Linked DNA regions of Canis lupus familiaris. Each later gene encodes a partner of the first gene's protein in a complex. Links are inferred from orthologs where the notes say so. Each region holds a gene or a part of one and is shown in the gene's direction. Other genes may lie near its edges.

What was found.
Region 2: the proteins of ARRB1 (region 1) and NTSR1 are in contact, whole or in part, in a cryo-EM structure (PDB 6UP7), measured with the Homo sapiens proteins. The link is inferred for Canis lupus familiaris from reciprocal best matches to the Homo sapiens genes ARRB1 and NTSR1. Residues at the interface, in NP_004032.2 of Homo sapiens: Tyr63, Arg65, Asp67, Leu68, Val70, Leu71, Gly72, Leu73, Thr74, Phe75, Arg76, Lys77, Asn245, Thr246, Ala247, Gln248, Tyr249, Lys250, Lys284, Arg285, Gly286; in NP_002522.2 of Homo sapiens: Ser93, Leu94, Gln95, Ser96, Leu97, Gln98, Thr100, Val101, Arg166, Ile170, Pro173, Lys177, Phe286, Ser287, Met288, Ala289, Ile290, Ala297, Leu298, Gly301, Ser368, Asn370.
Region 3: the proteins of ARRB1 (region 1) and GRM3 are in contact, whole or in part, in a cryo-EM structure (PDB 9II2), measured with the Homo sapiens proteins. The link is inferred for Canis lupus familiaris from reciprocal best matches to the Homo sapiens genes ARRB1 and GRM3. Residues at the interface, in NP_004032.2 of Homo sapiens: Gly5, Thr6, Arg7, Val8, Phe9, Lys10, Lys11, Ala12, Ser13, Pro14, Tyr21, Arg25, Arg65, Glu66, Asp67, Leu71, Gly72, Leu73, Thr74, Phe75, Arg76, Lys77, Arg103, Leu104, Lys107, Pro133, Arg236, Phe244, Asn245, Thr246; in NP_000831.2 of Homo sapiens: Pro605, Lys608, Ala609, Ile669, Phe670, Asp671, Gly672, Val673, Lys674, Asn675, Ala677, Gln678, Arg679, Lys681, Phe682, Ser684, Cys761, Pro762, Glu763, Phe765, Val834, Val835, Thr836, His837, Gln855, Ser856, Ser857, Ala858, Ser859, Thr860.

The regions. Positions count from the first base shown.
Region 1 is NC_049242.1:23,396,152-23,399,792, forward strand, and holds part of ARRB1 (beta-arrestin-1), read left to right. Parts: intron 1-246; coding exon 247-443; intron 444-1,944; coding exon 1,945-2,004; intron 2,005-2,827; coding exon 2,828-2,895; intron 2,896-3,641. UniProt on the Homo sapiens protein: Functions in regulating agonist-mediated G-protein coupled receptor (GPCR) signaling by mediating both receptor desensitization and resensitization processes.
Region 2 is NC_049245.1:47,459,558-47,463,198, forward strand, and holds part of NTSR1 (neurotensin receptor type 1), read left to right. Parts: intron 1-397; coding exon 398-488; intron 489-1,833; coding exon 1,834-2,083; 3' UTR 2,084-3,641. UniProt on the Homo sapiens protein: G-protein coupled receptor for the tridecapeptide neurotensin (NTS). Signaling is effected via G proteins that activate a phosphatidylinositol-calcium second messenger system.
Region 3 is NC_049235.1:12,835,600-12,839,340, forward strand, and holds the start of GRM3 (metabotropic glutamate receptor 3), read left to right. Parts: upstream 1-1,239; 5' UTR 1,240-2,222; intron 2,223-3,741. UniProt on the Homo sapiens protein: G-protein coupled receptor for glutamate. Ligand binding causes a conformation change that triggers signaling via guanine nucleotide-binding proteins (G proteins) and modulates the activity of down-stream effectors.

The DNA.
Region 1 (3,641 bases):
AGTGGGGCATGGGAAAGGACAGAACTGATCCAGCAGTCAGCCCTCACCTCCCCCTAGGGGCCAGGTCTGAGTGGTTCTCCTGGGTACCCAGTACCCCCATCCCGAGGGCTGCACAGCCTTCCCACACAGGAGCTTTGGGACAGACCTTTGAGCTCCAGTTGGGCCAATCCCAGGGCTCAGCTGGTGCTCTTGGGGGCTTGTTTGCTGCCCTCTTGGGCTCATCCTCCATGCCCCCTGCTCCCACAGTCTACGTGACACTGACCTGCGCCTTCCGCTATGGCCGGGAGGACCTGGATGTCCTGGGCCTGACGTTTCGCAAGGATCTGTTTGTGGCCAACGTGCAGTCCTTCCCGCCAGCCCCTGAGGACAAGAAGCCCCTGACACGGCTGCAGGAGCGCCTCATCAAGAAGCTGGGCGAGCATGCCTATCCTTTCACCTTTGAGGTTAGGGACTGCCAACTGCACCACCAGTAGGAAGCCCTGTGGGCAAGCACATGGGGACAGCTGGGGCAGCAGCTCCATGTCACTCAATTTCTCAGTGTACATTGGGACCTGGGGCACTGTCACTTATACTTCCTGGTAAGTGTCTCTTCTCTGGCCACTGCCAGGGGTGTCACCTTACCTCTGAGCTACTCCTTGGACCCTCCCGAGTCCAGCTCGTGGCGGGAGAGAGCCGGGTGGGCAGAGGCTGCAGAGAAAGAAGGAGCCCTTTCTCACCTCTGAATTACTACAGGACTGTCTCCTCCCTCAGACCAGCTGCCCGCATGCCCAGCTTCGGCCCAGCTCCAGCTGAGCTCCAGCGCAGCTCATTAATGAGGGATGGCATGTAGTGATTTCCCTGCTCTGCCACTTTTCCAAATGGAAAGACTCCCAGATTCTGGATTTTAAAACTTCCTGTTTCTCAGACTCTGATTCTGTGATTCAGTGAAATCCCCTGGCTTTCTGGGAAACCAGAGGAGAGACATTACAGTCATCCTGTCCATGGCAGATGTATTGGTTTCCTGTGGCTGCTGTAACAAACAAGCTGCTGCCAACCTGGTGGGAATTAAATGTGACCATTAAAACACAAGTTTCTGACCTTACAGTTTTGGAGGTTACAAGTCAAAACAAACAAACAAACAAACAAACAAACAAACAAAAAAACAGGTTGCACTGGGCTAAAATCAAAGTGTCAGCAGGGCTGTATTCTTTCTGGAGGCTCTAGGCCTTGCCTTTTCCAGCTTCTAGAAACTGCTTGTGTTCCCTAGCTTGAAGCCTACCCCTCTGTCTTCAAAGCCAGCAATGGCTGGTCAGTCTTTCTTGCAGCCCACCACTTTGACACCGACTCTTCTGTTTCCTGCTTTCCCTGCTAAGGTCCATTGTGATTACATCGGGCACACCTGGATAACTCGGGCTACTCTCCCCATCTCAAGAGTTTTAACTTAATCACACCTGTAAAATCCCCTTTGCCAAGTAAGGTAGCAGTTGAAGGTTCTGGGGATTAGAAGGTGGGCACCTTTGAGGGGGTGGGGGGGCTTGTTCTGCCTACTACAATCTAGGCAGAACACTTTATTTTAATTTTTTTTTTAAGATTTTATTTATTCATGACAGACACACAGAGGCAGAGACACAGCAGAGGGAGAAGCAGGCTCCATGCAGGGAGCCCAATGCGGGACTCGATCCCCAGACCCCAGAATCCCAACCTTAGCCGAAGGCAGACAGTCAACCACTGAGCCACCCAGATGCCCCTAGGCAAAATCCTTTAGATAAAGAAAAGCACTGAAATCCTTGGCTTTACTGGAGGGCTTCTGGCCCAGTGTGGGGCATCCTTGGCATGGTCTGATGGGGGAGACATGGCCTGTTGCTAGGGCCCCCTGGTCTGATAAATGTGTGTGGGGGTGGTGGGTGGGCAACATGAGGAGCTCAATGGTCAATGTGACAGGAGACCTGTCTGTCCTCTTAACAGATCCCTCCAAACCTCCCGTGCTCTGTGACATTGCAGCCAGGGCCTGAAGACACGGGGAAGGTGGGTCACGTCTCTGGAAGCCTCTCTCCGGGTAAAGGACATTTGTATCCCCAGGGCCCTGGCTTTCTGAGAGGCATCGGAACTCTGTGTGGAAGCCTCCCTGTGTGGAAGCCACTTCAACACTGCCTCAGATAAGCCGGCTCTTTTCATACAGGGCAGCAGGCAGATAGGGTGTCATCCTCACCCCCGCATTCCATTACATGCAGTCTCTCCTGGGCTTACTGTTGGCTGCAGCAGAACCAAAATGTTCTCTGGACTACCTCTTGGCCTCACAACCTTGCATGGGGGTCCATTCACTGTGGTCTCACAAGTGGAGAAATGGAGGCTCCAAGAGAAGTGACACTACTAGTGTCACAGGCCCCAGATCTCTGAGCCCCCTTGTCTTCACCTGCAAAATGGAGATGAGAGGCTATGCCTCCTCCTGCAGTTTAGAGGGTGGAGTGAGCCACCAGAGCACTGTTGGGTCTGCACATAGTCTGTGCTCCCCTCCTAGGACTGCTGAGCACCCCCATTGTTATTGCCGAGTGGCTGCCTTAATGAGGACAGCTGCCCAGACCAGGCAGGTGTCTGCAGGGTGGAGCCCAGTTAGGGCAGTTTGGGACACCCAGTGTTGGGGGAGCTAGGGGAGCTCTGTGGGAAGGCCAGGTGGGGTTGGGGTGCAGCACAGCACTGGGGCTGAGGCCGATCACAGGGTCCTGAATCAGGCTGAGGGGCGGTTGGCCTGTGAAGTTTGCTATTCCCCTCCAGGGTCCTGGTTTGTAAAATAAGAGGGTGGGATGGCTGTGCTGTCGGGACCCTGTGGTCAGCAGCCCCTTCTCCTCAGGCCTGTGGTGTGGACTACGAGGTCAAAGCCTTCTGTGCCGAGAACCTGGAGGAAAAGATCCACAAGCGGTGAGAAGGGCACAGCTTCCGCTGGGTGTGGGCTGCCTACTGGCAGAGGGAGAGAGACAAGACCAGCAAAGTCAGAGAAGAGATAAGTAACAATACCTGGAAGTGTGTGAGGAGGGGCCGCATATTCCAGCCCCAGAAACTCCAAGAAGGGCCCTCTGGAAGGCTGGCAAGTCCTGGAGGGGTTCCTGGAGAAAGTGGCTCAACTGTCTGGGGCTTAGGGCTCAGGCCTCAGGCCTCAGGATTTCTCCCTTTACAATGCTGAACCTGCCTCCTCCATCACCCTGCTTCAAGTCTTGCCCCATGAGACTGCATGTTTTTATTTTATTTTGGAAAGAAACACAAAATTTGGATCATTTTAAAGAGTGAGCAAGAGTTTTTTCCAGCCACCCTGAACCCCTACTTCCTACTTCTCCTGGGAAGCCATCAGCAGCAGGTGGTAGTGGGGGCGGCAGTGGGGTGTGGGATGGGTCAGCCCACGTGTCAGAAGAGGTAGTGTTCTCTAGAGAGGCACAGCCCTGGGCAGACAGTCCAGACTGGCAGCTGGAAACAGCTGGACCTGACTTCTGAGATAGACTGCCCAGCCCTGCTCTCGTGCCTGTTCCTCCTCAAGGCAGGCCCTGCCCTGTCTTCTGGCGAGGAGGCGAGGCTGGCCTCAGCCCCCCACTCTGATGCACCCTGCCTCCCCAGGCAGCCGCCCGCATTCCTACCGAGCCTGGCTGAGGGTGGCTGAGGGAGGGCACTGCGGC
Region 2 (3,641 bases), on another chromosome or scaffold:
TCTGGCCTCCTCCTTCTGCACGTGGCTGTCCCATTTTCCCGGTACGATGGTCTCGGCAGCCTCGTAGGAAGTCACCCGCCCATATCTGTGAGGGTTCACCTCTGGGCTCTCTGTCTTTAGGCCAAGGTCACACTGTTTTGACGACTGCAGCTTTGTGGTAGGTTTTGAAATTAGGACACGAGAGCCTTCCAGCTCATCTTCCTCAAGGTTGTTTCAGGAGTCCCTCCAGACGCCCACGGATCTTAAGATGGGTTTTTCTATTTCGGGGTTTTGAGAGAGGTGGCACGGAGCCTGTAGACTGCGGTGGGTACACTGACAATTTAACACTGGTTAGTCTTCTGGGCTCAGACAGGATGCCCCCCTTCACCCTCCGAGACCCCGTCTCTCTGTGTCTCAGGGGCTGTGGTCATCGCCTTCGTGGTCTGCTGGCTGCCCTACCACGTGCGGCGCCTCATGTTCTGCTACATTTCCGATAAGCAGTGGACCCCGTGAGTACCGGGAGCCTGGGGCGCAGGGGTGAGGCTCGGGCTGGGAGAAGCTCCCCAGAACAGGTTGGCATGGGAGGTGGGGGCGCGGAACAGAGCAGCTCAAGGCAGGGCTGCAGGTCAGGTGTCCCCGCATGTTCTTGGTGTGACTGTGAGTGGGCTGGGGGCAGAAGGAAGGCCACGGAGGGATGGATGCCACAGGGGGATGGACACCACGTCCGTGGCTGAGGCTGCTCAGCCACGGGGCAGGTCACAGCAGAAGAGGAGAGCAGAGCTGAGAGTGGGTATGAGACGAGTTTAGAGCCGTCTGGAGAGAGACAGAAAGGGCTGGCCCTGTGGGACCTGGGGGCGCAACCACTGTCTGGGTGTCCTAGACTACCCCCAGGCTGGGGGAGCCGCGAGCACTCGGGGGGCCCCGGGGCAGCCACACCCACACGGGGCCCTACCGCAGCCCAGGGACACACAGCAGAATCAGTGACGGGAAACAAGCCCGCAGAGGCGTCCTGGGGAGCAGGCCCGGCTTCCAGAACCCCCTCCGCAGGCCAAATGCCCCGAACGAACCGAGGCCACGTGTGAAACGCTGTCGGCTGGGCAGCCGGCCAGAAGCCCAGGGCTCTTGCTGGGGCCGCTCACGTAGATGCCGCGGCTGCCGCGCGCCCCAGCCCCAGACTCCCAGGAGGAAGCATCTGCTCTGCGTAGGATGCTCTAGGCCCCGAGAGCCCCTCCTCGCAGGGGGTGGCGACCCCGGACATCCAAGCTCCCAGACCCCGGTGCAAGAGGCCAGCCTTGCCAGGACGCCCTTCTGACACGACAGCCCCAGGCCCCGCCGTGCGTGAGCTTAGCAGGGCAGCCTGGTCCGAGGGTCACAGCTTCTTCAAAGTGACGGGGAACCATGGGGAGGGCAGATCCAGGACAGACGAGGAGAAGTTGCAGGTAGCAGAGCACGGTGCTGAGTAAAGGGTTTCTGAAACCCAGGGCTGCCTGGTGAGGGAGTGAGATCCCTGTCGGTGGAGGCAAGCAAGCCGAGGCCCAGGAGCACAGCCCTCCAGGGAGCAGGGAAGGGGTCCGGCCGCACCCCTTAGCCCCAGCGAGCTGGCCTCCTGCACGCAGACGGGCGGGCCCGGTGTGCCGCAGGGAGGGGTGGAGGCAGGCGGGGAGGACGGCCACAAGCCAGCCCCCCGACCGGCGCCAGCGGGAGCGTGGTCGGAACTCCCAGCACCTCAAGAGATGCCGCAGCCCCGGAATTTGTTCTGAAATAGCCCCACGTCAGAGAATTTAATGTCCTTGTCCCGAGCACCGAGGGTCGTGGCACCACCAGGCCGGGTCTGACAGCTGCCCTCGCCCCCAGGTTCCTGTACGACTTTTACCACTACTTCTACATGCTGACCAACGCGCTCTTCTACGTCAGCTCGGCCATCAACCCCATCCTGTACAACCTGGTCTCTGCCAACTTCCGCCAGGCCTTCCTGTCCACCCTGGCCTGCCTGTGTCCTCTGTGGGGGCGCAGGGGGAGGAGGCCGGCCTTCGCCAGGAAGACCAACAGCGTGTCCAGCAACCACACCTTCTCCAGCAACGTCACCCGGGAGACACTGTATTAGGGCCGGGGGGAGGAGGGGAGGCCCAACGGCAGCGTCGCCCCCTTCCCCCCTCCCCCTCTCCCTGCAGCCCCCCACCCCCGGGGCAGGAGCAGGGCTCAGCAGAGGCCGGGGACTCAGCGCCCACCCCCAGAGGCCTCATTTCTCGCAGCTTCTCCCTCTGCCCCTCTTTGAAAGCCGGAGAGAGATTGCTTCACCCCAGATCCAGAAAGGGCCTTTAATGAGAAGAAATTAGTGGTGGGGGAAGGCAGGTTTCTTTGTTCCCACACTACGGGGTGATCCGGGAGGACAGAAATGAAAGGCACAGGCCGGGCCGGGCTGGCGTGGGGAGGCAGCCGCCCCGAGAGGCAGGGCTGTGGGCGGAGGGCGGCCGCTGCCCTGGCGCCCCCGGCGAGGAGAGGACCGCTGGCCTCCTCTGGTACGGCCTCGGCGCCCAGACCCCTCCTCTCCACGGGCGGTGCCCAGGGGCCCCCGGGGGTCGGGGGGGCAGGCGTCGGCTGGACCCGGCTCCCCGTCCTCCTCGCCCATTTGTGGGGACTCAGCCACAGGTGAGGAGGAGGAGCCGTGGACACAGGCGCCCGTGGCTGCCAGGCTGAGGCCCCGGGTCGCCCGTCACGGCCGCGCACAGCGGCCCCAGCCCCGGGCACCCGGAAGGGCAGGCGCCTCCGTGGTCTGTAGGAGCCGGTCTCCAGACAGGATGGCCTGGCCCTGGCCGTGCCCTGGCAGGTCCCCTGAGCCGGGGGAGGCCGAGGCCGTGTGAGCTGCCTCACGGGAGGCTCGAGGGGCAGAAGGGCCTGGAAAATGAAATATGGGCTTTTGTTACAGCAGGTTGTCACTGGGCTCCTGAAGGGAGCAGACGGGCAGCGGGTGGGCAGCCCTGACCCCGCCGAGGAGGCCTGCTCCCAGCCCGGGCACCAGGACCCGCCCCTCCCGTAAGAACGGCCGTTGGCTGGCACGGTACCTGCGGCGGCGTTGGACCTGGGCCCTCTGCTCCGAGCTGTGCGCTCCGAGAACCCCCGGCTCCTTCTGCAAGAGCGGCGCCGGGTGGGCAGCCGCCAGCAGCCCCCCAGGACCCCGGGACCCAGGCCAACCCAGACCCCACACACGCCGTCGGCTCCGGGCAGGCGAGCAGGACAGGTGGGCAGGCGGCCAGTGGGCGCCTGCAAGCAGAGGCTGGTGCCCAGGCCGCGGGTGTCGAGCACGGGCCTGGACTCGTCCCGAGAGGCCCTGAGAGCCACCCCCGCGCTCGGCACCTCGGCCACGCCGTCCTCCGAGGCTGACGAGTGGGCGTGGGCGCCGTCTGGGCCCGGCCGATGTGCCCTCCCGGAGGACCCAGCCCAGGACGGGCGGAAGACGGGGTTCCCTGGGGTGGGGGCAGAGTGGACGCACGATGGGGACACCCAGCAGCCCGGACCCTCGCAGGCGCAGCAGGGACAGGGTCTGTGCGGCGGCCCCAAGTGCCCGTGACCGTTGCGGTCTTCACGTTCCCGTCTGCGCACTTCCCGCAGCCACAGACGCGTCCACGCACAGCCCGCGCCCTCCGTGGGCCACCGGCTCCGTA
Region 3 (3,741 bases), on another chromosome or scaffold:
TGCAAACACAGCTACTTTTATTTTTAATGAATGAAAACATCAGATCTCTTCGACTTCTCCCTATCTCAGCTGATTCTGATAGTCTTCGAAAGAAAAAAAAGAAAAGGTATCTTGTGGAACATTCTGGAAGGAACTGAAAGCTGCCAACATGGCTTCATGCATATCTGAAGCATTGCAGTGAATAGATCCTTATGCTCTCCTTTGTCCTGTCACTGCTCCTTAATGTGCGCTGGTCTATTGGACAGACATTGTGAAAATTCTCTCTTAGAAAAGTGTAACGCGTTTTTGGTACATGTTAGATAATAACAATGAAACACAAAGAGAAGGATGATTTTGCTGTTATTTTGGCACTGCTGTTGCATTCCAGAAAGAATGGTTTTGGAAGACGAACTTCTAGCATTTTTAGAGTTTCACTATTTAATAACACTGTCATTTTAATATACTCCAGTTTCTAGTTTTAGTGGTGTTCACAATGGAGTATGTAAGTACACGTGTCTTCTAAATATTGTCAGCTCTCCGAAAGAATCAGTAGTAAAATTATTTCTAGGTTACAAAAGCAGGCAGTTGTTAAACAACTTAACATTAAATATTAACGAATAAATGTAGCATTGAAGCACTGAGTTTAATTGTCTCCGGCTCTATATAACTCAGTCCTTGTTTAAGGATACAAAGTTAGTGTATCAGGGTTGGGAAAATTAATGGCAGCGAATTTTCGATTCTGAAATTAAGCACAATGTGTTTCTAAACATAGCGAGATCCCTGGAATTTTACCTTTAGGATCGTATCTGTCGCTCGGAGCTTATTATAGCTATTTCCGTGTGGCTTTTTCTCTTTTGTGCCTACGTCACCGGTTTAAGGTATTTATTTATTTATTTAATTTCAAGAAGAAAGAAGAGGTTCTGTGGAGAGCAGTGCCTGTGTGTGCCAACCCCCAGGAGGGTAGAGGAGGGCTAATGTGGGAGCGGAGGGGTAGGGGTCGCCGCCAGGAGGCTGTGTGGAAGCACAGGAGGACGAGAAGGAAGGCGCTGGAGCACTCCCCTCCGATCTTAATTCCACCTAAGAAATTTAGGAGAATGCGAAAAAGCAGCAGCCCAGCATTCTTGAGGGGGCGTGGCTTCCCTCCCGGGGCTGTCCAATCGCATTCCTTCAGAGGGAGCTCTCCCAAGAAGATTGATGGGGGTTGCTAGGAAACAGGAGCGTCTCCCTCCCGCCTGACCCAGAGACTGTTCGGCCCCGGCCCTCTCCAGGGGCTCGCAGCGTGCGCTCAGGCGGTGCGGGGGGCAGAGCGGCACACCCGGCTCTCCGCCGCGCTCGCCGCCTCTCAGCTCCCGCTCTCCCTTTCTCCTCCGGCGTGCGGCCAGCCCGTGGCACGGGGATCGCTGGAGAGTTCTTTCAGGGCCATTAGTCCCTGCCCTCCCGCAGGCAGGAGAGAGCTCGAGCAGAGCTTCAAAGTTGGAGCCGCGGATCCTCCTGCCGCCCCGCGCCCCTCCGCCCCACCCCTCGGAAATTCTCCCACCTTCGCCGTCCTGCCTAAGGATTTCCAGCAGAGCGAGGCGAGGCGGCTCGCAAAACCGCCCCGGCGCGCGTATAGTAACCTCTGGTCTAGGTGCCCGGGCTCACTGAAGACTCTGCAGATACACCCCTGTTACGGGAGGGGGAGGGGGAGGAGAGGGAAAAGGCGAACGGGAGAGGCAGGAAAGGAGAAAGAGAGTGCGAGGGAGAGAATGCCAGGAGGTCCGTGCCTCCGCCGAGGGTCCCCATTAGACGCTGCGGTTTGAGCCTGGCCAAGGTGAAGGAAAGTTGCTTTCCGCGCCTGGGAAGTGGGTTTGCCGGTCAAGCCGAGGGGCGCTCGGCTGGGAAACGCTCTCCTACCCTCCGCCGAAGCCCGCCGGGTCTCCCGCTCTCCCAGCCCCCGCCGGGCCTCCCTTTGCCCACTCCCCCGACCCGGAGGCCTGGATGCTCTGCCGCCGGGCAGTGGTCCAGCGCGCGGCCGGGAGGGGGCGGGGGCAGGGGGCACGGTGACGGGAAGCGGCGCGCACAACTTGGCCATTTCGGGGGCAAAATAAGTTCTTCCTCGGATCTGAAAGGACAAAGCCGGCAAGCTACCTCTTTTGTGTCGCATGAGGAAGCACCAAGCATGAGCCGGAGCCCGGGTGCAGGCTCAGCCGCCGCCGCTGCCACCGCGGCCAGCTCCAGTCCCTGCCAGGAGTTGTCGGTGCGAGGTAAGGGGCCCCGACGAGGACGCGTCCCTCTGGAGGGCGCCCGGCTCGGGTGCCGCGTGGGGCAGGCTGCGCCCTGGGAAAGTTGAGGCAGAGCCCAGACCGGTCCCTACAGCGCTGCCGGGGGTGGGGCGGGAGGGGGACAGGGGCGAGGTGGGTGTGCGTGAGTGAGAGTTGGTGTGTGTGCGCGCACGTCTGTGTCTCCGGGAGGGAGGCAGATTTCAGGGCGCAGTCCTGCCTTCGGGGTGCGGGTGCGGGGTGCAGAGGCGGAGGGGCTGACTAGCGCTCCCAGACCCCGAGAGACCAGTGTCGCCAGCCAACCACCTCTAGCCTTGCTCCGGGCCCGGGATTCGCTGCCATTCGGGGGCCCCTTAGGCTTTGTGCGCAGGAAACCTTGCGGTGACCGGCTGCCGCCCGGGCGGCTCCGTGGGTGTGGAGGTTGCGCGAGGAGGCGGGCAGCGGGCAGCGGGCGGCGGGCAGCGGGCAGCGGGACCGGCCGGCGTCGCAGCCAGGACGCGCTCTGCAGCCGGGAGCGGCCGGGGGGCGGGGGGGGGGGGGGTGCTCGCTCTCCCACCAGCAGGCTTGGAAAGCAGCCCTAACTCCATGCCCTGTGCTCTGTGGGGCTGGAGCGAAACATCGAAAAGCCAGACCCGGAGCTTATCTCTTCATCGATCTTGTTCCATTTTCCTATCTGACAAGGGAGGTAACTCAGAGAGGGCGGGAGATTCGCGATCCAGAAATAGACTAGGTGACACATCCAATAAGCTTGTTTCTTAAGGATTTCATTTACGATTCCTTCTAGTTCCTTCCCTGCGCTGAAACAAACGCGGAGGACTCCCTAAGATACAATACTTTTAGACAGGTATCTTAAGGGGACATGCCTCTGCCTTTTAAGTGTTTCGAAGCATTGTAAATTCCGATTAGAAAATAATAAAACTGTACACTTTAAATGATCGGTGGTCAAGTGGTCGGCTAATTTGCTGATAAAATATTTCAACTGTTACGCGAATAAGATGTGTTTAAGGTAAACAATAGTGATAATGACCTAATGGGTCTATGCAGAGTTGGGGTAAAAGAGAGTTGAGGGTGGTGAGTTAAGGATCCCGGCATTCCAATCATAGTGCATTCCTTTGATTTTTCTCTGCTTAATTTTATTTGTGCTTCCTACTCTTAGCACTGTTTAGTAGAGCTATATTGTGTTTCTCTAGGGAAAAAATTAAGCATCGATCTGGAAAGAAACATTATTCATTTACCTAAATCTAAGTCAGCCTCGGTTTATCTGATCACATATTTTAAGGCTGCTACTGGAACTCTAATTGTTTTTGTAAATATGTTTAATATAGGCATAAAACACCTCAACTCCTACTACACTAAACTCCCGTGGACTATATACAGTTCCTACCCAAAGATGGTTTAGGACATTCTATTAGTTGATTCTGTAGTGTTATGCATTTTTGAGCTCAAAACAGCTCAACAGAATTTGAGTAGATTCTGGAAGCTATTGCACACTGAATCTTAATAA